Rhinolophus ferrumequinum: one gene and its partner. The protein of the gene in region 1 binds, or shares a complex with, the protein of each later gene. Links are inferred from orthologs where the notes say so. Each region holds a gene or a part of one and is shown on either strand. Other genes may lie near its edges. The genes, in order: CNOT9 and CNOT6.

Evidence for each region.
Region 2: CNOT9 (region 1) and CNOT6 share a complex: the UniProt entries of both Homo sapiens proteins name them as parts of the CCR4-NOT complex. The link is inferred for Rhinolophus ferrumequinum from reciprocal best matches to the Homo sapiens genes CNOT9 and CNOT6.

What each region holds. Positions count from the first base shown.
Region 1 is NC_046291.1:16,767,437-16,783,322, forward strand, and holds the start of CNOT9 (CCR4-NOT transcription complex subunit 9), read right to left. Parts: upstream 6,134-15,886; 5' UTR 5,992-6,133; coding exon 5,968-5,991; intron 1-5,967. Other genes in the region: USP37 (ubiquitin carboxyl-terminal hydrolase 37), read left to right, coding at 15,271-15,426. UniProt on the Homo sapiens protein: Component of the CCR4-NOT complex which is one of the major cellular mRNA deadenylases and is linked to various cellular processes including bulk mRNA degradation, miRNA-mediated repression, translational repression during translational initiation and general transcription regulation.
Region 2 is NC_046307.1:3,493,899-3,509,101, reverse strand, and holds the start of CNOT6 (CCR4-NOT transcription complex subunit 6), read right to left. Parts: upstream 6,916-15,203; 5' UTR 6,754-6,915; intron 5,849-6,753; 5' UTR 5,746-5,848; coding exon 5,739-5,745; intron 1-5,738. UniProt on the Homo sapiens protein: Poly(A) nuclease with 3'-5' RNase activity.

The DNA of each region.
Region 1 (15,886 bases):
ATTATGGGTTTTGTTCTTCTCTGACTTATTCCACTTAGCATAATACCCTCAAGATCCATTCATGTTGTTGCAAATAACAATATTTTATCTTTTTAACAGCTGAGTAGTACTCCATTGTGTGCGTGTGTTTACACACACACATCATCCTTATGCACTTATGTTGTTTCCAATGCACTTACGTTGTTTTCATATCTTGGCTACTGTAAATAACACTGCAATGAATATAGGGGTACATGTATCTTTTCAAATTAGTGTTTTCATATACTGCAGATAAACATCCAGAAGAGGAATTGTTGGATCATATGGTAGTTCTATTCTTAAGTTTTTGAGGACTCTCCATACTATTTTCCACGGTGGCTGTACCAATTCACAGTTCCACCAACAGTATACGAGGGTTCCCTTTTTTCTACAACCTCATCACTTGTTATTTTCTTGTCTTTTTACAGCATTCTAACAGGTGTGAGGTGATATCTCACTTAGGTTTTGATTTGCATTTCCCTGTTGGTGATGCTGAATATCTTTTCACATGCCTGTTGGCCCCTCTGTATGTAAAACAATGTCTATTCGGATCCTCTGCCCATTTTTTAATCAGGTTGTTTGGTGTGTTTTTTTGTTGAATTAATCTTTAATCCATTTTGAGTTAATTTTTGTGAATGGTATAAAATAGTGGTCTAGTTTCATTCTTAGACCTTGATTGGTAATAAAAACCCAAAATGTATTTCACTTTCCTTCTGAATCCCAAGGATCATTTAGGCACACCTTTCACAAAAATATTAGAATCTGAAAATTGATGTCTTCTAAAAGGTAGTGGGAAGTGAAAGTGGGGGATGAGGGAAGAGAGGGATGGATCTATATGCACTTTTTAAAAAACACGGTTTCATTTAATGATCACAATAATGTGGTTTCATCCTCATTTTACAAATGAAACTATGAGTAAATGATGGTGACAGATTTCCCCTTCTTCTCATGCTCGATTTAAAGATCACCTCTAAAGATTCCTAATTCACTTGCTACTATTCTTAAATTTATAATTTACTAATTACATTTCTGAGGCTGTGGCTGATGTGGAACTCAGTCTAGTAGCACACACTGTCCAGTGGCAGATAAGCAAACTCATGTATGACTTCCCTACTGGAGACCACCTAACTTAAACATTTTAACAATGATGGCGGGATACCACAAGCACAAGGGTTAACATTTCTTGAATCAAATGAAATCTATGGATCTTTTCCTCAGAAAAATACATAATTGCAAATTGTTTTGTACATAATTTGTTTTCCACAAATTTACACATAATTTCAGGGAATTCGTAGACCACCCCTTCTGCAACCTATCCATGGACCTAGGATTAATAACCTGTTTATCAAGTGAATGAATAGGAAACACGTAAGTGGAACACACACTAGATTAGAAGCCATAAGTGGCTTCAAAACACAGCTTTGCCATTTCTAGCATGTGTAACCTAGGATAAGTCATTTACTTTCCCAACCCTCAGTTTTATCACTGGTAAAATGAAGGAATTAATTACCGAAGTCTCAGTCAGCTATAAAAATCTTAGAAATTTATTTAATTCTTTGTTATAAAGTGAGAGACTAATCTAAGTGGCTCTTTAAAAATAATAAATTTTATTCAGGTATAATTTATATACAATAAAACTTTTCAGTGCACCCATTTTAAGTGTACATTTCAATGAAGTTTGAGAAATCTATATACCTGAGTAACCACCACCACAATCAAGATATAGATCACTTCCATTACCCTCAAAAGTTCTCTAGTATTCCTGTCAGGAATCGCACCACACCCAGCCCTAGGCAACTATGGATATGCTTTTTGCTGCTATAGATGAGGTCTGCCTTTTCTAGAAACTATTTATAGGAGGTAATATTTACTGAACATACTATGTGCCAGTCACTGTGGATCATCTGCCTTATTCTCAAAATTCTAAGAAAGAATGGGTTCAGGGAGGTTAAATATATGCAAGTTCACACAGCGAGTATATGGCAGAAAATTAGATTTAAATTCTAGGCTACTTCTCTCTAAAATCAGTGAGCCCCTACCTGGTTTATAGGATTGAAATCACAAATATCTCTCCAAGTTGAAGAAAATATTTCTTAAGATCCCAATACAGACTTTTAAGTTTAATATCCCATTGTGTATAATATAGCTCATTAACAGTTGGATTTGGATAAACGGTAAGTTCACTTACATACCCAGAAACGTAAGGTCACTCATGAGAAGTCTGATTTAAACTATTAGTTATCTTCCTTAATACTGTCTTCCAAGATTACAAACAAGAGCTATTGGATATAACTGTATCTTCAGATATAACTCGCTTAATGTCAGTGGTCCCTTCCTTTCAATGTTAAAAATGTCTGTATGGCCAAAATTTAGGAGGGAATTGCTCTCCCCTTTTCTGTTTAATGATTTGTATATAGAAAAAGTATTTCAAATAACTTTTTTCTTTCAACAAAGCTTAACATAGGCAAGACATTTACCAATGTGAGTCACCAATGGTTAACTTCAAGTGTCACAAACACAGGGTACTGATAGTTGGTCTTCTATCTTTGTAAGATCTTAATACTTAATGTGAAAAGAAAAAGATATTTAAAATTTAAATAAAAAGACCCACATTTACCTATAAATGAGAAAGAAAAATGATTTACCCCTCATGAGGAAATTTAAACATTGATGTTGATGGCTTTCTTAAACAGAAAATATCCAAATCTTTCAGTATGGGCCAAAATAGATTCAAGGGCCAAAATAGCTGGCTTTTCTACCAATGAATATTTGACAATGAATAAAGAAAGAAGAGTATTAGATTGAAAAAGAGATTATTTTCCCAAGTCTGGAGATGACTCAACAAGTGTCTTTGAATGTCTAGTTGACGATATTCCAAGAAAACACACTTTCTAAATACTGCCAAAGGGAAATATTAAATTAGCTCAATTATCCTCATATCTTTATGAAAATAAGGTCCAGAATGTTCTTCAAAAATAACTTTTTAAAAATAGAAGTGAATAAGCAAAGAGAAGTTAGGCAATTTGCTTAAAACTTCAACAGGAGACAGTCTTTGAATTAGATGTGCCAGAATGAATGCACAATGTTCTTTTTACTTGCCAAAGAGGAAGGCTTCTGGGAGTCTAGCACAACTTCAACAAAAAGATATAGAATAACTAATGACGGTGCCCATTAGGTGGAAAGCGAGGCAAAAACAAGGGTTTAAAGATGTTAGAATTGCCAGTAGAAATTCTACTGGGGAATCAGTGGGGAATATTTTTAAAAATGCATACCCAGAGCATCTCATAAGGGCTTTCCTTTGGTTGTTTTAGATCACTAGCATATCATTCATTACAGAAGACCCACAGTATGTGAAGATATGTATAATAATTCTATTAATCAACCTCCAAGGTCCATAACAAAGTGATTTGTTACTCTGTTGAGGCAGGAACTAGAGTCCCAAAGCTGAACCTAGGAGCAAGCCATTTAACCAGTGAGTGAACCTAGCCAACCACTGATCACTCTGTTATTATTTCATCTTTAAATAATCCTGTGTGTATTTGTGTCCTTATTTAATAGATGTGAGAAATTACATTCTATGGTGGCAATAATGAAGACGTTAGAATGTATTCTGTAAAGAATGAAAGGTCTATCATACCATACATTTCCAGTATAATACTACTCAAGTCAAAATTTAAGATATTTCCCAAATTATCTCAAATCCTCCCTATTGTGAATGAAATCCTGCATTCACATGTGATCACATTCTCCTTTGACAGTACTATCTCCCTAGCTGAAATGATGAATTACCTGTTATTTTAAAAAAGATAAAGGTACACACAGATACAAATTTTCATCATTAGGCAAAAAGTAATAATCAAGTTGCTTAGATTACTGCAGGCACTGGTGCATGTATTAACTTTTCTCAATTTCTAGAGAGTGACAAACACCATTACTGTCCCTTTACCCAGATCAGAATAAAACAGGCAGTTTAGTCTAATGGAAGGCATGCGCTTCAGTCTCCTCACTAACCAAATATTCTAGTGAATGAGTGGTAGAAAGTAACTTGTCAGAGCTTTCGTGTGGTCTAAGCAGCACAACAAATGAAAGTATATCTAAAAGTTCAAATTTTAAATAAATGTATTGTCAATCTAATTGAAGAAACATGTATTGAGTACTTACTTATAAGTAATGAACCACAGCTTTAATGGCTGTTCAAAAGATGAATTACAGGGAGCAAATGAAAATAAAAGAAATTGAATAGGTATGGGTATAGAGTTTGGGGAGGCACAGAGAAAAGAGCAGCTTGGCATCAAAGTGTGGCGAACACACGATCAGATTTTGAGAGATGGACAAGCCAACCTTAGAAGAATTTATTTACCTTGTCCCTCCCTACTAGCAGAAACCTCATCTTCTGACTTGCTTCTTCCAAATTATACATGTAATGTGCGAGAAGAAACAAAAAAGTTGGGGAAATTGCAAACACCCAATTGAGAGATATAAAAGGTACTTCTCCACTTTGACTAGTTACAAACACTTAGAAACATGGTGACAGGAGGCAGAGATGCCACTGGCTCTGGAAATGACGTTTTCTCTAACCTAATTACACAGCTTCCTTTTTATATTTAAAGGCAATTTTTTGGGTTCTCTATTTCGTATTTGTATCATTTTGCCTACTAATGCAACTTAAGTATATTATTCTCTCATTAAGTCACTTTACCTCTGTGAAACAGAAAAAGTGGGGTGGGCATTTACAAAAGTGTGCTCAAATCATATGATCCCATTTTCCCACTGTGGCTATGTGTTCTCAGTAGCCACCTCCTTCATCTGCACCCCTCATTCAGCAAAGTACCTGAGCCCTTACTTTATGCCAGGAACTGTCCTGGATCTGGGTTACTATGTAAACAAGACCCACATGATCCCTGTCTCTGTCCTCAAGAGGGAGACAATCAACAAGCAAATAAATACAAAAAAATTACAAATTGTAATCAATGCTGTAAAGGATACTTGAAAAGTAAAGTTGGAGGTTACAGAACTACAGTACTTTAAAAAAGACGGTCAGGGTCGCCCACTCTAGGGAGATTTGGCAGAGACCTGAGGGAAGCCAGCTATGCCCACATTGGGGGGAGGGGTGTGTGTGTGTGTGTGTGTGTTTAAGTTGGAAGAGCATTCCAGGAACAGAGATCAGAAAGTGCACTTTGGAGTTGAAAAGCACACCAGAAGGGATGGTAGACGGGATGTCCAGTGTAACTGGAGCCTACCGGGCAAGTGACATAAGACAAGACTGTAAACGTGGGTAAGAACCAGCGAGAGTCTTGTCATAGCGAGGACTCTGGATTTTATCTAAATGCAATGGGAAGCCATAGGATTACACTAGACAGGTGAACTACCCGATCCATTTTGGTTAAAAGACCACACTGATAAAACGAGATGTGTGAGGAAAGGTTTTAAGCGCAGAGAACCGTAAGTCAGACACGATAATTATTCACTTCTCTGGGTCTCAGATTTTCCATCTGCAAAGCAAGTGGTTTTAACTAGAAGCCATTTCCTTTCCGCTGCGATGTGCCTAGGCAGTCAGTTCCGAGAGCCCGGGGCCTTGTCAAATCGATCACAGAATTACCCTCATCCCCGCCGACGCTCGGAACGCAACGGGCACCCGGAAACTGTTGGTCAGGGCAATGAATCAATGAATGGCCAGTCCGGGCCGCGAGGGAGGCGTTCCGGGCGCGCGCAGGCCCCAGGCCGGAAAAGAACGCGAAATGCGGCGCGAGAGGCCACAAGTGCCGGTGGGCGAGGAAAGTAGGGGGTGGCTTCACCGCGACCAAAGCGCGGCGAGGAGGGGGGGCCGGGGCCTCGTGGGTTGAGAGCAGAAGTTGGACTCCAGGCTCCACAGAGGGAGCTAGGAGAGGAGGCCGAAACGCAGGACTGAGGAGGGGTTCTGGGCCCAGGCTGGGCGGCGCACCCACTCACCGCAGCCGTCGCCAGGCTGTGCATGTTGGGAGCGGCCACCGCTCTCCAGCCACCGCCGGACGCGCCCGACCCACGTCCCAGCTTCAGCGACTCTGCCGCCAAAGAGCTGCCGCAGCCGCCATCCGCCTCCGGCTCGCTCCGCCCCCTTCGCAGCCCTATGACCTTTCACCCCTGACACCGCCCACAATCCTCTTCCCCCCTCCTAGCTCTCCACGGAGTTAGTCCTAAAGTCTGTCCTTTGTCGCTTAAGATTCAGGACCTGAAGGACGTCCGCCTCCTATTAGTCCTGGCATTCCCCGCAGGCCTCCCCAGAGAGGGGAGTGAACTCTGACCCTCCTCCGGAGGCCAGTGAAGGGCGGGAAAAGCAGGGCAGTCCCCGAAGGAGAAGTAGTACGCATGCCCGACTGGGCTGAGTAAGATGGAAATGGTGGGAAGTCGAAAATGAGTGAGTAAGAAATGCGCATGCGTCCTGTAGTCAGATGGGGCGGGGCTGCCTTGGCGAGACTTCGCCGAGTGCTGGGGCGGGGCGAGGGCGTGGAGGGGCGGAGTTTGCATTCCTGCGCGCACGCGCCCCGTCCGGTCGCGTAGAGTGTGCGTGCGTGCGTTGCGTGTTTGCGTGTGGTCACAGTTCCCGCCATCAGCCGCTCTCCCTGAGTCGGGGGGAGTGAGCTGTCCCTCTCCTCCGTGCCGGGTGTCCCTTCCTTCCTTCCCCCCCACTTTTCCCCCTCCGCGCGGACTCCGTGCTTCCGGCGGGCCTGTCCCGGGCTCAGGACTCGCAGGCACAGGTAAGGCGGGCCCAGAAAGCTTCTCAACTGAGCGGTTTTCCCCAGCGGCTTCCCCCCCACCCCCGGTCCGCCCACTCGGCGTTCACTCTTCTGGAGTTCGCCCCGCTGCTGCTCAGCCTGCCCCCATCCACTCGACGCTCCCCTGGCCTCACCGGTGCTGCACTTGGGGCTTCCCTCAGGCTTTTCTTCTCCTTTGACCTGGTCTTGACTGTTACTCGCCCCCTCCGCAGCCGGAACCTCCCCCATTTCGCTGGGGGCTGTCGGCGTCCGCCACTCGCCCCTTAGCGAGGCCTGCTGTCTCTAAAAAGAGGACCTACGTTGCCGCACATCCACAGGCCTTGGACATGATTCTCTCACTCTCTTGACAGTTCCTCACCTTCTTTCCTCTCCTAACCATCTCTCACTAAAACGCATGAATTGTGTTCTTGTCGTGCATTTGGTTGCTCCCCATCTCTAGCCATCAGTTCAGGTTGTCAGCTTCACCTGTTTTAGGGCATGAGCCATGAAAGGAAATGATAATTGATGACAAAATCCTGTTTTCTGGAGACTTGGCCTGTAGTGGCTTTGTGGTAGTTCTTTCAAAATTTTGGCTCTGTACATGCCTTTTGGGGGGTGACAGTATCTGACAAGTAGCTAACTGGAAGAGATACCTAAGAGAGGATGTCAAGTTAGCAGTTGGATATATTGGTTTGACGCTCAGAGGAGAGTTCTGGGCTGGAAGTATAGATAAATGTATATATGTCATCTGCCACGTTGATGGTAATCAAAGCCATGGATGTGGATGAAATTGCCTAAAGCGAGTATAACGCTGGAAAAGGGGATCTAGGATGGCTCACTGAGGGGTTCTTGACGTTTAATAACTGGATAGAGGAATACAAGTCTGGTAAAGAGATGGAAGAAGTAATCAGTAGTGTTGCATTTTGCTGAAAGATGAATGAGGACTGAGAAGCCCAGTGAAATCAAAGTAATCGATGGTCATGGTGAGAGAGGTTTAATGGAGTAACATGGAATATCTTGGTTCAGTCGTAGGCCCTGTTCTTTTTGCTCTTCCTTTTCCACCCTAAGCTTTGAATTCTACCTATATATTGATGACTTAAGAACTTTTATTTCCAGCCTCTTCCCAAAAGCTCAAGATCTATTATAACTAGCCCCCATTTGCTTGACATTTCAGCTTGATTTTTTTCCTTAGAGATTTCAAATATAACATGTCTAAAACCAAATTCTTAATCTTTCTCTCCATATCCAAATTCTTTCTCCAGTATCCCGTTTCATTAAGTGGCATATCCATTTATCCACTTACATAGGCTAGACACTTGAAAGCCATTCTTGACTTCTCCCTCATTTCATGTATCCGTACCCTCTTCAAGTTCTATTTATTCTATTTCCAATATATGTGTTGAATCTATTTCTGTATATCTTTCGTATCACTTTTCCAGTCCAAGCCACAATCCTCATTCACTTGGACTTAATGTCACTGCTAGGTACCCTGTATTCTCATCTGTAAAATGGGAATAATCATCACCTTATTGAATTTTTATGAAGATTAAATGAGATAACTGTGGTAAGAACATGATACATAGTAAACAGCCAGTAAGCATTATTATTGTAATTGTTATAAGCTGAATCACTTTAATACTTTCGTATCTGGTTGTCCTGTTTTCTTCCATTCTTGCTCCTTTCTCCTCCCCAAATTGAAATCACTTCTTTATTCAGCAGTAACATGTCATTTCTCTGCTTAAAACCCTTCTGTGGATTTCCCAATCACTAAGTATTTATTACATTGAGGGTAAAATTCAAAATCATTACTATGCTGTACAAGATTCTGCATAACCTGAGTCTTTCCTGCTTTACTAGCTTCATCTTGCACCATCCTCCTCTCTCTCACTAAACTCTAGTCACACTGCTTTTCATTTCTTCAGTCACACCAAGTTACTTTCTGTCACAGGGCCTTTGCACATTTTGTTCTGTTTACTTGGGTGGTTCCAGCATGACTGTCCTTCAGTGAACTCTTTCTTCAAGTTTCAGCTTATATGGTACTTCCTCAGAGAAACCTTCCCTAGGTGCTCTCTAACCTTTAACCCCCAAGTCTTAAATCAGGGACCCTATTATAATCTCTCATCATGCCCTGCACTTTATATCATCTTTCAGAACTTGTAATTATATGTTTATTTGTGTGGTTATTTAAAGTCTGTCTCTTACTAGAATATAAGCTAGTAACTATTTAATTTCTGTTTCTCAAGAATTGGTTAAATGAGTAGCCATCATGTCTTTTGGAAGGTTACTGATATTCTTGTCATCTGTTGACAAACACCTTTTCTGTCTGCAGACAAATCAAAGGATACAAAAAAAACAACAAAGGGTTTTCCAGCTTTGGACGAATTTTCATTTTTATGTCATAAAATCATTTAGATTTTAGACTCTTTGAATTGGAGATAAACTTTATCTAGGGCAACTTCTCTCTTTCAGCCACAACACTAATTTTATCTTTGTGCAAGAAAGCCCTTAGAAATCAGAGCAGTGGTTTATATATTTTTAAACAACAGGTTAAACTATGAGACCAGCAAGGAGGTTTCCAAAAATAAAGGAAAACATCCTATTTAAGTAAGTTGGTGGTAGATGGGAAGGAAATATTAAAATTTAATAATTTGTGTGTGTGGAACAGGATTTTTGTTGAGAAATAGAAAATAAAACATAGGAAGTGTATGAATGCCGAACAGAGAAGCATTTGGATTCATCTTGTAGGTAGTGATGAGCTGTTAAAAATGTTTGGGAGAAAGTTTCAATTAAGCAAGCTGAAAAGTTGAATAAGGTCTAGCAATATGCTGTACAACATGGTATCTGCAGTTAACAGTGCTGTGTTGTATACTGAAAAATTTGTTAAGAGGATAGATCTCATGTTAATATTCTTACCACAATAAAATAAAATTTTAAAAATGTTTGGGAAGGAATCAGCATCAATAGCAAGTATTTAGCACATACTAAGTGCCTGTTATTTTGTTGGAGTACAAAAGAAGGTAGGACAGGTCCTCCCCCCCTCCCACTTTTAGGGAGAAAGTTAAGGAGGCAGTGTATATTCTCCTTGATAGGAGATAAAAAGAGTAGTTCTTTAGAAAGGGTAAAGATTCATTGGATGAAAAAATCCTGAGGGAATGGAGACTGGAAAGTGGTTGCTGCAAATCATTGATGAGGATGCAGTATGGTAGTAGTTAAAAACGTGGGTTCTGGTGGTAGACTGTTGTCTCTTACTGACTCTGACCGTAGGTAAATTATGTAATCTCTCCAAGCCTTGGTTTCCTTATCTGTAACAGAGAGATAATAGTAATCCCTATCCTTTAGGATATTGTGAAAATTAAATGAGATAGTGCATGTATGGAGCTTAGCACTGTGCTTAGTAAATGCTGCGTAATAAATATTAGGTTGGAGTGATGGCAAAGTGATGTGTTTCTGAATTAGGGTAGTAACTAGTATGAAAAGACTGGGTTTTAGATAAATGCGAAGAGGTTAAAGCTGATGCTAGGATGTTTTGCTTGAATGAAAGGGGAAGGAGAAGTGGAGAGAAGTCTGGGGAGCCTCTTGAAGGCATGGGCTGTATAATTTTCACATTTGTATCCATACTAGACTGCTATCAAATTGGAGTAGCTCAGTAAATGATTTTTTACTAAGTGAATAAACGAGTTTAAAGTTGATGTTACAGCTTTCATGAAGGCAATGAGAGATGTTTGAGTTAGAACCGCCTTTAAGTTGAGGCTTAGAGATGCCTAAATTTGAAAAAGAAACCCATAAAGTTAGTTTTGAAAGAAAAGTAAAAACCAGGTTTACTTAACCTTTTGAAATTGTATCAGCACATCATAGAAGTGGTATCTTTAAGACGTAAGACATCATTATGAAACAATGTTTCTGAAGTTAACAAAAGATACACTCTTTTTCACTGCCTTAGTTTCAAAATGTAGCAGGGATAAATAAACCAAGACACAAATTGAAGTGCCGGCTCCTCCTGGGATCCCTTATTTTGCAAGTAGAACTATCCCTACAGTTCTATTGCACTCTCGTGTGTGTGTGTGTGTGTGTGTGTGTGTGTGTGTGTGTGTGTGTATCTTGAGCATTATATTTTAAGTGTTTTCAGTAAGGTGGTTTATGGTTTTTAAATAATCAAAAGGTTAATCTTTGTTGTATAAATGATCACATTTAAAAATAATTTTAATTTTTTACATTGGATTCATTTAAAAAGGCACGCTTATATTTTCTTTAGCTGAGTTGATGGCTTCCGGAGAACTGGCATAGCTGCAGAATATGAGTAGTTCCCAAAGAAGAGTGCATTGCCTTTGGCACAAGAATCAGAATAAAGGTGAATTGTTGTTACATAGGGTTTTTCAGTAAAAGTCACTGAAAAGTAAGTAATGTTTTTATTTTGGATATATGTTTCCAAGAGTATGCATTTTGACAAGAATTGACAGTTTTCTGTTTTGTAGTAGCTGCTTTATTCTTTAGCATGCTTTCTTTACCACAGAATGCACTTCTGGAGAAGAATGTTTTCAAAGCAGTACCTAAAATAAGAATAGCATTTAAACACCTGTATGGGGGTATAGACACATGTTTGGTAATTTTATTGAGTATTTTAATAATTGTGAAGAAATTTAGGTAAAGGGGTATCTCTCTGGATATACTTAAAGAATGAGTTTTTGTTATACTTTGTCTTCCTAATGTCGCTGTGATAGTGAATTAGCATTACAGAGGTCAAAGAAACCTTGTCTTTGTCCTAGTTTCATAGAAAGTTTAACTATTACTGGATCATGCCAAATACTGAAAAAGAAACTTAGTGTTTTTTCTCTTAACCAAGTAGGGCAAACCCTGAAAATATGAATATACAAACGTAGATATAGTTAATCCATTTAATGCAAGAGTAGGTAATGGACTAAGTTGAGGCATTAAGAAAGTGTTTTATGTCCTGTACCTTTTAGGTTTTTTTTTCTTAGGAAAAAAAGAGATTGTTAGTAGAAATGGTTAGGAAGATGTTAAATATCTGAAGTAAAATTTTATGTACTTAACCAAACTCTGCATCAAATGTTTGAAAATTATGTAGAGAGAAATTATAGAGAGAATTATATGGAGAAATAGAAATAACCAATAAAGTTTGTTTTTATTTCTGACGGATTTTAGTGAGCTTTGAAATCTTTACCTCAACATTTTGTTAAATCTAATTTCTAAAAATATGTTTTTGTTGGTGGAATTTAAGGTCAACAACCTTTACTTTTGGCTTGTAAGGAAAATACTAAGATAATGGGGTTTTATATTATTTCTTTTTAATTTGGCACCCTGACCCATAATGACATATAAAGAAAGATGAGAAAATTTGACAAAACTCTTAAAATGGAGTTTTTTTAATTGAACAATGAATAGTATAAAGCCCAGTTTAGGCAAATTTACTAAGGTTTTTGTTTTAATAATGCATTATTATCTTTCTCATTGAGTCTTAAGATATGACGATAGCTGTACATTTAGTGAAGTTCATATGCACATAGAAAAGGCTTAAGCGTTCAAAAGATGAGTTATATGTAATACAGTGCATAGTGATACACTTGTAAAGAGCTTAGGAAATAGAACCCTATATTTCCATATAGAGGGTTATGTAAAAGGGATTTATGGCTCTAGTATCTGCTGTTGTATATTTTCACAGTAAATTGAATAAAGTTGATAGTACGGATTTGTTCATTATTCGTGAATAATGAGTTTGTTTCTTGTGTATCAGACACTGTCCTAATGGGGATGCAAAGCTTAAAGAACACATTCCTTGTCTTTAAATAGAAGAGTCTAGATAGAGAGAGACAAAGAGGTAAGCAGTTTATAACAAAATGTGATAAATGCCCTACTGGAAGTAAGCGCAGGGTACAACAGAAGAATAGAGAAGTATGGAACAGTCTCAGTGTGGATATGGGGTGAGAGAAAAAGAGAAAGGTAGCTGGGAAAGGCTTCTTAAAGAAGATTAGATCTAAGCTGAGCCTTGATTTTATAGACAGGAGAAGAAATTATGGGAGCTTGTGGGGCATGGGGAGAGTACGTAAACATCCTGCAGACTTCAACCTCTGTGAGTGCAACAGTATAGTGGCATGAGAGCATGTGGCTTTTTTAGGGAAATTATAAATAGTTCAGATGGCTGGATTTGGAGGGCTTGTTGGGAAGAGAGGTAAGCAGAACCTGGATCATGAAGGGCATTTATGTCATGTTAGTGAGTCTAGATTTTACTGGGAGGGCAATGGGGAGTCATTGGATAATATTGAGGAGAATGATATGATTTGATCTGCATTTCATTATAAAGAAGTCTGGAAGGTGTATGGAGGTAGAATTGACAGGACTCTACCTTGACCTTCCATCTCCAATCCAATACCAATAATCATCAAGAGAGAAGTCAAAGATAACACTCACGTTTCTGGCATAAGAAACGGGGGTAGGAAAGGGGCCACGTATTATTGGCTGGGCTGAAATAGAGTGGAAAAAATTTCAAGGATATATCCAAACAATGAAGCACCAAAAAATAGTATTACAAACACATTGCTGGCCCAAAATTCTGTAGTTACTAGTTTGAATTAAATGTTGTGTAACAGACAGGACTATAAACAAAGTCGTGGGCTGTGTAACTTTGATGGATTCATATACCCAGCAAATTATACTAAATCTGGCTACAGTAGGCACTCAAGAAATTTGATGAGATGAGTGAATAATAATAAGAGGACTTACAATGCGTAACACCTTTTAACTATTAAGAGTGTTTTCATATCTTCTTAAATTTTATTCCCTGTTATTTGATGTACAGTATCTAGAGGCCTTAAACTAGTGATCCGTAGGCTGTACCCTGCCTACAAGTGGGTTTTGTTTGATTTGTAGCTTTTAAACATAACTTTGAATTCATTGCCCACAATTAAAAATGGGCAGATTTACACAAAAATTTGTCATTTTCTTGAAAAATTAGATGATCTGGTAATGCTAGTTTCACTGTTTCTACCTGATAAAATTGGCTGGATTTGAATAGCAGTTTTCATATTTTGCCTGCCCATCATATGTGTTACCTGACTGACCCATGTAGGCAGTTGAATTGGTAACCCCTGTTAACTTATTTATCAGGGGTCTTTGAAGAACAAAGTGTTGCAGACAAGGAATAAATTCAGAAAATGGACACTGATTTCATATTAAGGCTAGGGTCTGTTGAGTGCTTAATGTGTGTTATTTCATTTAATTCTGCAACACTATAGCATTTGCTATTCCTATTTTACAATTGAGAAAACTAAAGGTTAGAAAAGATAAGTTACAAATTCGTGACAGCTGGCTCCTGATATCTAGACCTAGTATGTTTTTCCTTTGATCACTACTTTTTTGAAAGTTTTTCTAGTTCAGCTGTTTAGGCAGATGCAAAGTTTAATGATTTTTGACTTATTAAATTATAAGCACAAATCTGTATTAGAGGCAGTGATTTTAGAGATTTGAAAAAGAGTATAAAATGTTTTAACATTGAGTGTGATGTAATTTGATCTGCAGTTCGTTATAAAGATATCTTTATAGATCTCTATACGGAAGGTTTATGGAGGTGGAATTGTATAACATACACTATTTGTTGCCGTTCTCTGCTATTACTATTGTATTTGTTGACATTTGGTAAGCTAGTTTGAAGAGTCTTAGACATTCTATTGTTGTAAGCCATTTGTAAGTATTAGAAGGTCATTTGTGAAATTTGAATATCTGTCATAGATAAAATTGGTAAAGAGTTCTAGGAATTGTGATATTAAACATAAATGGTAAGTGGTTCTTAGGAAGAGAGGGTTGTTCCCCCCCCCCCAGAGAATAAATGATTTTCTCAAATAATACAGTTTTGGGGGTTAAACTAATTTGATTATTCTTACAGTTTTGCTTTCATTTAATGTCTTCTATACATGTGGATATGCTTGGACTACTTGGTTTGAATTGATATTTTGAGAACTCCATTCTGAAAAATGGAGTCAGCTGACTGAAAATATTTTTTTACTTGTATTTGAAATTCAAGACCCTTTAGCATTCGTGAAGGAAGGTAAAAGTTGATCGTGTTGCTGTAGGCAATCCCACTGAGAATGCAATCTTTAGTATTGACCTGCCTTTAGTGGCAGCAATATGGTGTGAGTGGTACAAAATGCAAAATTTAGGCACTAATGCATAGAGGTACTAGACACATGGCAAAGAAGGGAACATGTACTGAAGAAGTAAGTAAATGCTGGCTATATTCACACAGTCAGGATCAGTGACTGCCTTAGTTGTCTTTCTTACCTGTGCCATGCCGCTAATCAAGCAAGGCCTTTGAGGCTGCTTAATAAAATGTGGTTTATTGAAATGGAGAAAAGTACATAAGATGGTTCATTAAATGTCCTCTTTCAAACACTTATTTTAATCACTGGTAAATTGTAACTTTTTATTTTATTTTTCTTCCTTAGAATCTATCAGGTGAAGGTGTATTTTTGCTTTATAATTTGGCTAGAAGCAATTTATTTTTTAAGAAAGTATGTCTCCTCTGAAGATACATGGTCCTATCAGAATTCGAAGTATGCAGACGGGGATTACAAAATGGAAAGAAGGATCTTTTGAAATTGTGGAAAAAGAAAATAAAGTCAGCCTAATAGTGCACTATAACACTGGAGGAATTCCAAGGACATTTCAGGTATTATCAAATTTCGATTTGGAATAGACCTTCAGTGACATGTTTTAGTGAATGATTGTTCTCTGCCATACTAAGTATCATGGTAGCCCTCCGCCTACGTTAATATTTCTTGTTTTTTATTTCCAGCACACTCATACTCTTATATTCATATTTTATAAATTATTCAGTAACATTATTGATCATGTATAATAAAGAGTGGGAAGTAGTCACCATTATTGAAAAGAAAGTTGATGGGAGGAAGATTAGAGGAACTGAGTTTGGATACTATCTACCTAAGCTATTTTAAAAACCACAGTAGGAGAACTTTATTCCTTTTTTTTCCTTCTCTTTAACACAAACGATAGATTTATCCTTATTTAGTGCTAGCTTTTAATAGGACTTCTTAGTGTCATCTTAATGTCTGCTTCCTAAATAATCCTGCCAGAGTGGTGGTATAGACAGACCATTCAAGGTCATCCTT
Region 2 (15,203 bases), on another chromosome or scaffold:
AAAGCTACTGAGTGAGGTTTCATGGAAAGAAATCGACAGCAAATGTGTTCAAGAGTTCTGCTTTGCATGGCTTTCTGACGCCAGATGTGCAAGTGACTGCCTTTTCCTAAAATAGTGAGATGCTTTAACACTGGATTTTGGACCAGCAAGAACAGTATTCCTACATGGACTCATGGCTTTTGATCCATAACCAAAAAGAGAATCACAAGTATTAAGATTCTACCTCTATTATGTCGACATGGTCAGCCACTATTGCAAGTGGTTATAAATGTGTGGCAACAACTGGGTCTCCCTGTATTATCAAATCTCTATCAAAGGTCCATTCCAAGCCACAGCACGATGTGTGTGTGTCAGGAGGGAAGAGTGGGGAGTACAGTGTGTCATTAAGAACACAAACCAGAGTCAAAAAGAGGCTAAAGTTTCCACAGTTATAAATGATACCTACCTTACAATTCTGGGGTGAGGATTAAACGAAATAACGCATGTAACGTAGTGCCTATCACATCATTAGCATTCAACGGTTATTTTTTCTTTCTGTGACTATCTATCTGTGACTAAGTCTGAGTTTCTGTAAGTTTCCCTAAAATTAGAAACCAAATGACAATTCTTTAGATGTCCCCCAAACACTAGTTTCACTTTCAACAATTTTAGGTGCAAATGTGTAAAGGAAGCTATTAGTCTAAAACATGGCAGTGAGCTTCATCAGATACTGCCTTATGATCCTGCAATGTTTACATACAACTATACACAATCTTTAGGGAAGAAAAGATTTTGTCCCCCAAAGAGCTGAGTGCAAATATTCTGACTTAATTTTAATAAGTCTTCATTTCTGTTTCGTCTTTAATTAGCAGGGATTCTTAATATCTTCTTTTAGTCTGTCTCCCCACACCCCTCACTCAAAATCTGCCTAGTTTAAAAAAATCTATACGTAGCCTCTTGATGTATCTAGAGACTCACCGTAATACTCTTTTTGGATACAAAGACCATTGCTTAATTTTTGTTTTGCTACATCACCACGTTTACTTTTTGAGTATATATTTGTAGCAAATACTCTGGAAATCACTATGCCTGACATTCCGGTCTTTGCTACTATATTCTACATTTAAACTGTATCAAATATTTAACTGAACTTTGAGCTGTTGAGCACAATGCAAGTAAAACCTAGTACAGGGAACATGAAAAAGTCGATTTTAGTCTTCTAGTAACTAAAGGCAAAGTTATAACAAGGTGATTTTACATCAGATAATCTCTACCTCCAGCAAGGAAGAATTTACTGTTTTTGAAGTCACATGAAATTCCACAAATAATTTTACGTGACCAAATAAAAAGTGAATCATTTCAACCAACATATCAGGGAAAAATATAAAGTCTACATACAATATATATTAGGAATTTATTCCTAAATTTTGGATTTAAAGCAAACAGAAAGGCTGACAACTAACATAGTAGGTGCCAACCTTCTCTGGACCCTGTCTCCTCTTTAAACTATTACCCCTTTTCCTTCTCTTCCCCTTTAAACATTTCCAAACAGCAGTCTACCACCTTTTTCATTTTAACCTCCCCATTGCTCCCAGCCCAAACTACAATCTGACAACTACTCTGGTCCCAGAAAAATTTGCTCTGCTCATATTCACCTAACTGCCCTCTCAATCCATTCTCCCAGCTCATCCTCCCCTAAACCTGAGCACCGTCTGTCTCCACTGAAAACTCCCTCCTTCTGAGCGCTCTTACCTCCCTCCCTTAGCACCTTCGCCACGTTGCTCTCTCCCCTGCTCCCACCTCTTTACTGCCATCCTGTCTGAAACTAAAAGCTGGCTGTTCCTACGGGTGCCCCCTCAGTCCTCTCCTCTTCTTAAATTAACCTGTGGTCCATGAGTAAGTTTCACACTTGTGTGCATACTTCTCTTCAACTGGATCCAGAATTCTCAAGTGATTCTCAAGTGGGGATCCATCTCCCCCAAAATGGTGAAAAGCATTTGTTCACACACTCTTCCTGAGTGATCTCCTAAATCCAAAGCCAACTACTTAATGACCAAATGTATAACCCCCCCCCCACAACCACTCCCTGGTCCAGACACTCATCAGACATACCCACCCAAATATCCGACAGATACATCAAACTTAGAATCAAAATCATACTTTTCCACTTTCCTTGTCCAAATTTGCTCTTGGTCCTCTTTTACCCAAGTTAAATCATACCAATAGTTCCCCAAGCTAAAGAACTTCTGAATCATACTCAGCTCCTTCCTCTTTTTAGAGCTGGTGGTATCTTTCATATTTATCCTATGCTTTTCCAGCACCTACGCTGATGTCTTTGACCTCTCACAAGGACTCGAGTGAATTCTGACCCGTTTCCTGACCCCTGCGTGTCTCCTCAACCTCAACACTCAATGGATCCCCATTATATATAGATGGAAGTCCCAACATTTTAAGAACAAGCCTAAGACTATTCACAAACTGTTTCTGGCCACCCCTCAGTTCCTCACATCCAAGTTGTACGTGACATGACTTTGCACATGCTGTTCCTCCTCCTCGTAATGCCCTACTCAGCCTGACAACCTGCTCACCCTTCACATCAGCTCAAGGACCTCTGAGACGACTCCCTCAAGTTTCCCAAGCAGAAGTTAGCTGCCCTTTCCTTAGCATGCCCCAAACGCTCTGTATAGTCCTCATCATTACATAACCTGATGAGGGCTTTACTGGTTCATTGGACTCGCTCTACACCACTCTAAACCCACATGGGACAAAGACCACGAGCCCCATAAGGACAGCAAATCTATATATGGTGCCTGACACATGGGTGTGCAAGGACTTTTGGAAGTGAGGTTTACAGCACTATTTCAAAGTGCTGTATTCAAATACAATCAGGTCTGCTTGATCAGTTGTGCTGAAAATGTGGATTTGTTCCAATGTGATTGATAAATTAGGGAATTTGAGCATAACTCAAAATTCCCAATTGCTTACGTGTAATTATCTGTGAAAAACACTGGATGAAGGTAAAACACTGTACCCCAATGAATGGAGCTGTGTGGATACAACACACACACACACACACACACACACACACACCCCTCAAACACCTACCAACTACATCAGTTCTGCGTGTTATGAGACACATTCACCCACATCTGGTGGTGTTATAACATTCCCTCTGAGTTCAGCTAAATCTTCCACCACTTCATAATAACTCACAAGCAGCAACCCCTCTTATGCCCATTTCCACAAGCAAACCAGGTCTTTTTCAAGGAAAATTCTACACATTGGAGCATTTATATATTGTTTAACCATTTAACGTGTAAAACTGTGCTGTCATTTTTATCAGGTTCCTTTTTTACAAATAAGTCACTGACTTTTTACTGCAATTTTACATACCATGATTTGTAGGAACCCACATGCCCTTACAGCAGAACTGACTACCGAGTGCTTAGCCTTTAAGAAAATTTCAGTATTCTAACCAGTACGCTACTGGAGAGAAAACTGCTTTCCCCCCAAAGTTCATGAAATGTTTATAACCCGTATCTCAACAGACCATCAGGGTCATCATAACCTTTCAGCTTGGTGGCTCTCGCTTCCGGTGAGCAGAGGGTTGATTTTTCCACTTTAAGTTCCACAGTCTGCCTGAGCCTAACTCAGAAGAAACTTTCACATGTACGATTTTATGGGTTTCATTGTTTTGACTCCTTTAACTTCTTCCAAAACATCCTGGCATTTTTATTTTAAATTACCCCGTATTACAGAGCAATTGGGCAGAGCCCTCAAGCCCAACAGAAAAGGGACCAGACACAAGACACTATATACCCAAGTTAAAAATAGATTCAGAACCACTCACTCCACACTATCTCAAATGTGACTTTTACATGTAGGGCCTTGGCTCAATCCTCCACACTGATGACAGTGATCTTTAAATCACCTTATGCCCCCACTAAAAATATTTTGGCTCCCTCCTTTTCTATAGGATAAAGATATAAACCTCACTTTTAGCTTAGCAAGCAGGGTCTTTCAAAATCTAGGCCAGACATACTTTTTTGCAGGTTCATCTCTAGTCAGTCTCCCTATTCCGGTAACATCTCACCATTGACCTCACCCCAACACTTGGCACCTCAGTGCACCCATGGTTCCTTCTGTTTGAAATGACCCCTTATCCCCAGTTGGACAAACACCTTTTCTCTGTTATTTTCTGTAAACTGCTTCCACACCTTCCACAAATACAACCATTTTCTCTTCTATTCTCCCACAGAACTTGGTACACCTACTAAGCCTATTAAACTACACCCAGGCAGAAACTTGAGTATTCAGTTTTGCATTCTCAGGGTCCAGCATAACTATTCCTCGATATGTAACTTAAGCTATCAAGAAAATATAAAGGGATGAGGGAGTAAGATTAAGGCAGCCTAAATGAGGCCCCATCTTAGAGGCAAACGACCTTCTCCTCTTTAATTACTACTTCAAATACCAAAATATAGTGCATTTCATTGTACTCTAATGAACACAGGCTATGCATACAGTAAGTTTTACAGTTTATTCAGCATTTCTTAATTTCACATACATAGTGTTTTGTTAATCACACTGTCCTAAAATGGCTACCTTCCTAAAATGAGCAGCAGTTAAGATGAAAGAAAAAAGTACATGGATAAAAGATTTTGTGGAAGCTAAGGATTTGAAAATTAAAATTGGAACTTTCCCAAGACAGTAACATTAAGTTCCAACCACAACAAAAGTGTAATTAATAGCATTACATACCCACAAATCCACGTCTTTCTTTTCTCCATTAGAGTATGTTCTTAGCTGAGCCTATTTAGACTTTTCCAAAGTGATAAACACTTTAAAAGCAGAGCTTTCCCTAGTGTGCCTTGCACATGGAAAAAGTACAAGTGTGCTGAAGATGTCGGCGCCCCCACCCTCAGCTGTGAGCAGTCCTTGGGCCTTTATTCCTGTTTGCGTTACATATGAAAACGTTGCATATGAAAACGGTGTATGCTTTAAAGAATATAATAAGGCTCATATGGGTATAGCACGATGCCTAAGTATTAACCAAAGCACATATTTATAAACTACAGGTAGAGGAGGTAGATTCCTACAACACCTTTATTTGTTGTCAGGATCGAGTTCTATAACCACCCTCATCTCTTTAAAAGAAACTAGTCTGAAATTTCCCAGTAACAGTACTCTGCCCCCAAGATTTAAGATACCTGAAGATACCTACAAAATCAAACAGACATTTAAAAGGGCTTCTTCATTTACATTACCACTGATCGAGACACTTTTGTCACATCTTCGTTTTTGACCATTTCACTGTCATGTTCACCTGAGAACTGACCAGACTCAACTACCTCAAATAACTTCAATCCATTAAAACACCCTCTGCCCTCCCCAAAGAACTATACTCTCCAGCAATTACATTCTCATTTGCTCTCATATTCATACACAACCTGGTCCCTCTTAACTGTAATATGTTTGGGCCAGTCACTTTAACCTTCTAGGTCTTTCCTCATCAGCACTTACTCAAATATTTTGTTTAAAGCAAGTCGACTGGACTAGATCACTCGTCTAAAAATATTAAGCAATTTTTATTCTAAAAGTCATGACATTCTAAAGACAGTGACAACTGCTGACAGCAATTACCAAAAAAAGTCTTCAAAACCTTGACCAACGGCTGTATCAGCTCCTACAACCTACAAAACTGGTTTGGAATGGTAAATCCCAGTCAGTGTATTGTGAAAAACACAAAGTGTTATTACATGCCATTTTATTTTTCACTTCCTCTCCAAAATTCTCTTCTCTTCAAAATTAAATTCCCAGAAACAAGGAAGCAAGAAGATTCCGCAGTAGCACTAATAGGACAATCCACCTGGAAAACAGGTAAATATGGGAACTCAAATTCAAGCAGATTATTGAAACAATGTCAGCTTAACACAATAACAAATCCAGGAAGGTCCAGCAAGATGACCATTCACAATGTTGTCATTTGCAGTAACAGTTAAATAAAAAGGTTACCGGCGTTAGTTAGCAGGCTCTTTGGGGAAGGTGGAGGAAGAGTCAAAGAAAAAAGTTTCCGTATTGTGGGGAGTGTGAGGAGGAGAGGGGGAGGGGGGGAGGGGGGAGGAGGGGGGCAGGGGGGAGGAGGGGGGAGGGGGAGAGGGGGAGAGGGGGAGAGAACGAACTCCGGTTACTGGAGAAAACTGCTTCAAGTCACTAGAACTACTCCGAGTCCTTACCTTAGCAATACCATAAATCTTTTCATTCGGTGCTAAGCGATTCTTTAACCATGTCATTCCCACCCACTCCCCCAAAATCTGCGTTAAACTGAATTGTAAACACTTTTGGGGGAGGGGGTAAACAGTCGGTTTCCCGCTTTGCGAGGTTCCACACTCTGCAGCGCGCAATCCCACAGCCACTCCTCCAAAGTTGCCACCCATCCCGGCCGCGAGTCTCGGACACCGACTCGCCTCCTCCCGGGGACCCGCGCCGGGGTCCGAGGGCCAGCGCGCCCCCGCCCCGCCCCTGCGCGCCGCCGCGCCCGCCGTCAATCAACGCCCCCCACCCCCGGTTTGGGCGTGGGGGAGCGACTCCCGGCGCTGCGCGATCGCAACGTATCTTGGGGGCCTCAACAGCCGCCAACTCAGCCCAGCTACGGGCCCGCCGCTCGCCAAGCTCAAGTTGCCCGCTCCCCGCGTGCCCCGGGGGCACGACCGAGCGGGGCCCGTGAACAGCCAGTGCGGGAGCTGCCCGGCGGGCTTGGGCCATCTCGCTCACCTCTCGGGGTGCGCCGACCTCCGCCGCCGCTGCCGCCTCCTCCCTGTGAGTGCAGCGGGGTCTGACCTGTGGAACCACCATACCAGTCCCGCCCGCTGCCGCAGCGCCGCCGCCGCCGCCTCGGCCGCCGCTCTTTGTTCCCCCTCCGAGCGCCACCGCCTCAGCCGCCCGTCTCAGCTGCCCCGACCGGCCGCCACTATGCCCTCCTGCCCTCTCGGGCCCCGGCCTCGCCCTCCTCGCTGTGCCCGCCGCCGCCTTCGCCTCCGCGCCGCCGACGCCGCCGCCACCGACGCCGCCGCCTCCTCCTCCGCGCCCCCCTCGCTTTCATTGAAAGCAAACAAGCATCATGGCGGCGGCCGCCGTCTCCCAGCCAGCGAGCGCCCCGACCGCCGCCGCCTCTCCAACATCCCGGCCGCCCATTGGCCGCCGCCACCGGGCGCAACCATTCGGCGCCGGGAGGGGTTTCTTCCTGCACGCGCTGCCCCAGGCCCCGCCCCTCCACCCCCGCCCTTGGGGACGGTGGTCCGGCCCGGCGCGCTCCCGGCCCTCCCTCCCGCTCCTCTTCCCGCTCTCCTCATTCCCGTCGTTCCCGTCACTTCTCTTTTTTCCTCTTTTTAACGGCTGCTCTGGTTTTCATCCAGCTCTCTTTTATTTGTCTCGGGCTGTTCACTTTTGTCTCCTCTCTTCCCTCTTTTTCTTTGATCTTCCTCCCCTCCGTTTTGCCTGTCAATCACATGGAAACATGGACTAGCTCTCAGACTTTTGACCTTAGCCAGTATCTTGATTTGCCTAAAGATGAGACATTCAATCGTGAACAGTCATATGAGTTTTCTTCCCTCAAATATGCTGAAAAAATTACTTAATGGCCCGTTGCGCTCCATCAATGGTCATTCAGTCCAGTAATTGAGGGACGGTTCGTGTGGTGGGATTCTAGCTGGAGTAATCGTCAGCATCTGCGTTCAGACATGGAGGCGTTCTATTCAGGTGGTGACTGAAGGCGAGCAGAGGAAAGACTGGACTGGCTGACGATGGGGTGGACACCTTAACTTATATGGCCAGGCTTTGTGCTGGGGCCAGGGCAGAGAGATGAAGCAGGCCCCACTCTGCCCCGAGCAAGCTCATAGTCTGGAGGCAAGAGAAACAGCCAACAGACTTAAAATCCAGTAGAGAGGCAGACAGGCATGGCATGAGGGGAAAAGGAGTAGCCATCCTCTCATCTACATGGCAAACTAGGATGGGCTCCCCCCTGAGATATCAACCCTGAAGAAATACAAGTGAAATGGGTTCTGGTAAGTAGCAATAGCGGTAAAGTAAGACACCCCCACCAAAGGCTGTCTTGGGCTAGAGTATATGGAAACGGGTGGCTGCTGTTGGGGCAAAGGTAGAGCTGGAAGAGCAAGGAAAAGATTGAGGGACAGAGGCTGCCGAGGTTCTGTGCTTGTCTCTCCCCAGCATGGCCTGGGGATGGTTCCTGCCTGCCATTTTCCAAGAAATCAACATGACAGCCCAGTCCTCTAGTGCCATAGGACACTGGACAAGAACAGGGCAGCAGGGGTTAGGGGTTGAAAAGAGCAAGTGCAGACTGGCCTGTGGGCATCCCTCTGTATCCTCCAAACCCAGGCTACTGAGTCTAGGGTTAAGCAATCTGCTGTACATCCAGCTGGTCCTCTGCCTCCATGTGAGTGCTGTGCCCTGGCAACCTGTGCTCCAGCCTGGACAGAGGGGTCCCTTTTTTATAATTCAGCTGCCCAGAGGGAGCTACTTTTTGTGGTTGGCGCAATATGTATGGTGGAGGGGACGTCCAGCCGCATAACAAAAAACTCAGTGGTGTAAACTAGTTTATTATAGCTCATGATAGACATAACTGTGCCCAGCTAGACAATTCTGTTGGTCTCACTTGGGCTCTCATGCCTCTAGTGAGATGGTGGCTGGGGGTTGGATGTCTGGCACCTTGGTGCCCCCAGTGAGGTCTTTTTCTGTGTTGTATCTCATCCTCAGCTTTTCTTTGTGGTTTCTCTCTCCGGCAGGAGATCTTGGACTTGTTGAATGGCAACCCAGGGCTCCACGAGGGAGCAAGTGGAAGCTGCCAGGCCTTCTGAAGGATGTCACTTCAGGAGTCTGTTAGTCATAGCATCAAAGCCCAGTCCAGATTCAAGAGGAGAGGACATAAGCAACACAGGAGCTGCATGTATGTACAGGGAGGGACAGAGTTTTGGGGGGCCATCTGATAGATTGGGGGAACCCACAGGGAGGGTACCAGTGGTGGCCCTGCCTGTGCACGTCCTGTTCTTTCTGAATATCTGAAGAAAACCCTAGAAAAGCCTCTCACCTTTGCAGATCCAAATCGTGCCTTTCATGTGAGCCAAGACTTCCCATTGCATTGTTATAAAACCCCAACTCAAGTAGACTTTTTGCAGAAAGAGATCATTTGCATATTCAGGTGTCACATAACTGAAAAGTTCAGGCATAATAAGATGCCATCCAGAACAATCTCACCCCTCCACCTTTCACTCTGCTCTCCTCCCCACTGGCTTCTTCACACAGGTTGTGTAGCCAGGCAGGAGAGATGGCCACTACGACAGGCAGGCGTAGATTCTACCAGCTTCTCCTCTTGAGAATTTCTTTCCTCATCGTTTTAGCAAGAACCCAGGGCAGCTCTCACTGGCCTGACCAGAGCTCTGGTCTTACTCCCTGCAGCCAGGTGTGAGGTCAGCCCTGCATGAAGTAGATGTATTGAGAGCAGGGAAGGACCATCCCTTGGGGAATTGGGGTGGCCAGAAGGAGGGGAGCAGATTCCACCTCAGGCCTTCTCAGGGAAGGCTTCCCAGCAGAGTTGGTTCCTGTCTCCTCAGGCTCCGGGCCCCTTTCCTGCCATCAGGGCACTCAGCAAAGATAGCATTCTCCCTGCCAGGCTGTGAGCCACTCCAATCTAAATCATGTTGCCCCCATGCCGCCAACTGGGGCTGCTTTTGAGTCTTTTCCACTCACAGGCTTTCGCAGTTCCTTCCTCTGTTCTGAACACCTTGACCCTCAGGCCCAGTGGTGGGCATGTAACCAACCTGGGATTTGCTATGTGGATGTGGGAAGAGTTCTCATACCACTGGGGTCCTAAACTGGGACAGTATGAGTTGGTGGCAGCCAGTGCATCTTCCCAACACATGGAGAGATGAGAGAGAGATGAAGAGAGATCGTCTTGGTGACAGAGCCTTGGTACCAGGTGCCAAAATCCTGATTTTGATAGTTTTCCCTTTTATCCTATGATCTAGTCCAGGTACATGAGCCAATAAGTTCATTTTTTGCTTAAGTTAAGGTTAGGCTTCTGTCACTTGCAATCAAAATACTTCTCATTTGATGCTTAGTAAATGTATTGGCTAGTGGATAGGAGGATAAATAACGAAGATGGACAACCAAGAGGTGGCCATGCCTGTTGATGTGGCTGTGGTGTCTATTTTGCAGGCGTGTCTGGAATTCAAACTCAAGGTCGGTGTAGGATGTGGACCATAACTTTGTGGGTCCAGCAATTGGACTTGCCAAGGTCCCCGGAGATGGGGAGCATTGCTCAGAGTGGCTGCAGTAACTAAAATGCACAGGAGATGGCGAACTGATGCAGGCTCCAAGGTTTATTTGCAAGATAAACCCAACCACGGTGAGACCCGAATGCTTACAGTGGAAGATCCACGTCTCCCAGTGGGAAAGCACATGGCAAACCGGTCTTGCCAGAGGGTGCTTGGTGAGCCTGAACTGTGGGCCCTGTGGAGCCACTCAGCTCTGACAGTCTGACGCCTCCTTTCAGGGTGGAGACTTGCTGACCAGGGCCAGCACTGGTGAGGCCTCCAGTTTTTCTCAGAGAGGACCCAGTCTAACAGATGAACTTGCAGGTCCCAGTCAGATCTCCCCAGAGTGTCCTTTGTCTCTGGGCCCACTATATTAGCCTGCAATTGATTGAAAAACCATCTCAAACAGCTTTAAGAAAAGAAAGGAGTTAGTTGGGTCTAATCACTGTAAAAGGCCAGAAAGAGTCTATCAGCTTCAGGGGCTAATCTAGAGGCTAATGCACTCTGCTCCTCTCCATGTTGATTTTATCATCAGGGGCAGTATGGAAGCAGAATGGATGCCAGCTCCTACAAGATTCAAGCCCAGAAGGAAAGAGAGAGCTTCCCTCAGCAGCTGAGCAAATGTCCTGGGACTGACTCATTTCCATCCCTGAACCAAACACCACGTTTAGGGTGATATCCTACCCTGGCCAGGAGGAAATCACGTGCCCTCTCCTGGAGCTGGATCATCTTTAACTTCACTCAAAGCACATATGGAAAGAGCTGGCGGGGTGGGGGTGGGGGGGTCCAGAGAAGAACTGGGGATATTGTTGCTGGAAGAAAGAAAAATAGATGCAGAGAAAAGCAAAGGTCCAAGGTCCACTCTCTGTTAAGCCCCCACTGGCACACACACACAGCCCCTGCCAGCTGCTTCTCCAGGCACCTGTCTGGTCGTGGCTTCACTGCCAAAGTGTGCTGTGGGGAGAAGGTGCCTCAGTGCCTCAGCACGTGGGAGACAGAGGAGGTATTCCCCTTTCAGAGCTCAGACGCTCTCCCCAAAGACACCTTAGAGAAGTTAACGGGAATGGGAAAAGGCAGCAAATCCATTTCTGTTTTTAAGTATATGTCATTTTTTCTCTAAGATTGAACCATCTTTTTCAGTGTTAAAAAAATAATTTGTGGTCATGGTTTGAAAACAAATTAAGACCAAACAGCAGAAAGGCATGAAGAAGAAAGTGGCTATGTCATCCCTGGACCCACCCCAGCCACAGTCGCCAGAGATTTGAATTGATTATGATGCTTTGGCTCTAAATAACAAAACAAATAAACCGTACACCCTCAAACATGCATAGTGGATAAGGCTACTTAGGACTCCGATGCCTGAAAGTCCACATGTAGGGCAGCCATTAGGGGTGTTTGATTTAAGCCCTACCGGCAGATTCATCACTGCTGCTGCCCTGGGTGAAAACCATTTTATTGCCTTGCTACTTTTATAGGATATGGGGTGTTAGAATGATGGCAGGAGGCTGAACTAGGAGGGGAATCTGAAAGATGTTTCTTAAAGAGATTGGCCTAAAAAAAGTTTAGGGAAAGTTGACCCTTTTTTGACACAGTAACATGAGTGAGGCCTGTACAGTTTCTAAAATGGATGTTGTCCGTGGGTCTTCCAGGCCCCTGGGAAACCACAGTCAGCAAATTGAGGAACAGTGTTCATTGCGAGGACACTGACGTGGTCACTGCCCCTGGACTGATGGCCCCCTGGGCAACTCCTGTGCCTCCGTGGCATTTTCATCAGCCTAACAGAAAATGTTGGGGATATCTTGAAATATCACGTTCATTCATTTACTTCTTTGAAAACAAAGACATTAGACCCACCAGTAGATTTTGTTATTTGATAAGCTATTTAAGTGTATAAATACTGTTATGTTGTAACACTTAAATATTTGGGCAACTGGATTTCAATATAGCTAGTTTCCTTTGTAATCCTATGTATTTTTATGTTATGCTTTTAAACAATGTTATTCTGAGCAGGGCTCTATAAGCTTTACCAGACTGCCAAGAGGGCTCATGGAGTAAAAAGTGTCAAGAACCCCTGCGTTAGGCTTTGGAGCCCTCAGTACCCACTGGTGAAGAGGGTGGAGATGGAGCGGAAAGTACAAGTGCATCTTAACCAGCTCAGCCTGAAGTCACCCTTATTGATTCTTCTCACACTCCTTTGGTGAGAACTAGTCACCTATCCCTTCCAATTGCAAAGAAGACTTGGGAAAGAGTTCCACAAGCTTGGAAATAACTTCCTCAATTCTGTCTGAGCAGCTGCTTCTCAGCAGCAAATCTATCCAATGGAAGGACAGCAGTAATTTTGTTGAACAGATAACCATCTCTGCCACGGTCCACCTCCCCAACTACCCAATATTCTTATGTACACTTCTTCCAATAAGTGACACCTGCTCTTCCTGTCCCCCCCACCCTTCTCTGCCTCTTTCCCCTGGCCCTCCACCCTGCTGCCATTTTTGACCATGAGAACAAGGCCCACGATATCAGAATAAGAAAGAGCTGGATGAAACCTGGTTTCTGAGCATTTGATGGAGCAGAGACACACCTCCAGAATCAAGGTATGTATTTGGCAGGACATAAGATCGATGCTCTACCATGCAGAAATGAAAACCTTGCTGGCAGAAAGTAGATTGATGGTGTTGCCTTCCAAACTAAGTTGATTATTTCAAAAATAGCCTCAGATTCATTAAGTTGTGAAATTGGGTGGTGAGCCGACCACAAGGCAAATGACCCAAGTATTAAAATTTAAAAATTATATCCAGGCAAGATCTTAGTATCCGCCTGGAACTAAGTAGGATGAGAAAAGTCTGGAAGCCTACTAGTTTTTGGAGTGAAATGTCAAAGAAACCACCAATGTGGACCACAATTTCGTAAATATTTAATCCCCAAAGCAACACCCAATCTCCCAAACCTGTATCAGCAGGAAGATCTAATTCCCAAGTCTATGTGACCGTGAAAGGGACAATGCCTTCCAGAAGGCAGGGACAAAGCCATAGAGGCCAGTGGACAAAGGACTCTCAGGTGGGCTGATCAGTATCTTACTCTGCCTCCAGAGAAGGGAGACTGCTGTGTTCCTGGAAAACCAAATAAGATAAACCCAAGACAGGTATATCTACCTCCCCCACTTTCTGAATTAGGTGGTTGGTTGGTTTGCTGCAATTGTCTTATTCGTACTGCTAATTTATATATTCTGTGTGTTGGAGGTAGATGCCTTTTAGTTCCTAGGTTACTGGGCCACAGGATGCCATACTGGAGACTGCTGGCTACTCGGAGCTGCGAGGGCCCCGTGGGGAGGGATGGGAGAGCTCTCTCTCTCTGTGAAGCAAGAGGGCTGCACATGGAAACGAAAGGCCGGACAATTAAATTCGCAAATCTTCCACTGTGTAAGTGCACGGTGGAAAGTTTGTGAATTTAATTGTCCAAGTTTTCATATAGGAGGCCGAAGGAGGAAATTATACCAGGATGGCAGGATAACTCTTCTTCCAGAATAAAGATGAAATTTACCAACTCCCCTTTATTTGCTAACATCCTTACAGCTGAGTAGGAAGAAATATCTAGAAACTCTCTGCTGTACTCTCAACAGAGAACAAACCCCCAGGGTGGAGGAGGGGTAGACATCTGTCTGAGCTGAGTGGGGCAGGGGAGCTGGGGTCTCATTTCTTCTCAGAGTGTGTTCTCCTGTCCTTGGTTTTAGCCTCCCCACACTTCCAAAAAAAATGTCACTTTCAGTTGCAGATGTAGCTGACGCCAATTTCTGAGACTTTTGAGGATTTTGTTTTGTTTCATTTGTTTTCCTTCTCAGGAGTCCCTTTCCCCTTTAAAAAAGAAAAAACCCTTTTTCATTTTGAAATAATTACAGTCACAAGAAGTTGCAAAGAAATGTGCAGGGACCCTTCACCCCACCACCCCCGATATTAACATCCTGCATAAGCTCGGTGCAATATCAGAACCAGAAACTTGACATTAGGTACAAAACATTGAGCTTATTCAGATTTCATCAGTCATACGTGCACTCGTGTGTGTGTGTGTGTGTGTGTGTGTGTGTGTGTGTGTGTGTGTGTGTGTAGCTCTAGTTTTGTCATGTGTAGCTTCATGGAACCACCACCACAATCAAGACACTTAACTGTACCACCACCTCAAGACTCCCTTGTGCTCCCCTTTACAGCCACAGCCTCCCCTGGTTAACTACTAATTTCACCTCTATAATTATGTTCTCTTACAAATGTTATATAAATGGAATTATGCAGTATGTATCTTTTTGAAATTGGTTCGGCATAATTTCCTTGGGTTCATCTGAGCTGTTGCATGTATCATCCTTTTTAGTTCCATCCTTTTTATCGCTGAGTAGTATTTCATAGTATGGGCAAAACACTATTTAATCCTTCATAAGTCTGGGTCATTCCTAGTTTGGGGTTACTATGAATAAAGCTGCTAGAACATTCATGTACAAGTTTGGGTGTGAAAATAAGTTTTCTCTGTGACAAAGACCCAAGACTATATTTGCTGGTTCATATGGTAACGCCATTTTTAGTTTGGAAAGGGACTGCCAAACTATTTTCCAGAGTGGCTGTGGTTTTAACCATACGTACCTTGTGTGAGGTGTGGCGAGTCCAGACGCAGGTCAAGAGAGAAAAACTGGAAAGAGTTTTATAGTTTTGTTACTCAAAGTTCAATGGGGAGAACACAGCACTCCACGCAGGGTGACACAGGGAAGCACCAGCGTTGGTCAGGAGGCAGAGGGAGGTGGAACTGGGGACAAGCATCGTTATTGTAGTTTTCACAGGAAGGAAGGCAAGGCAGGGTTAGCAGTGTAGGAATGGCTGATTTGAATAATTTCAGTGGACTCTGGCGTATAGGGACTAT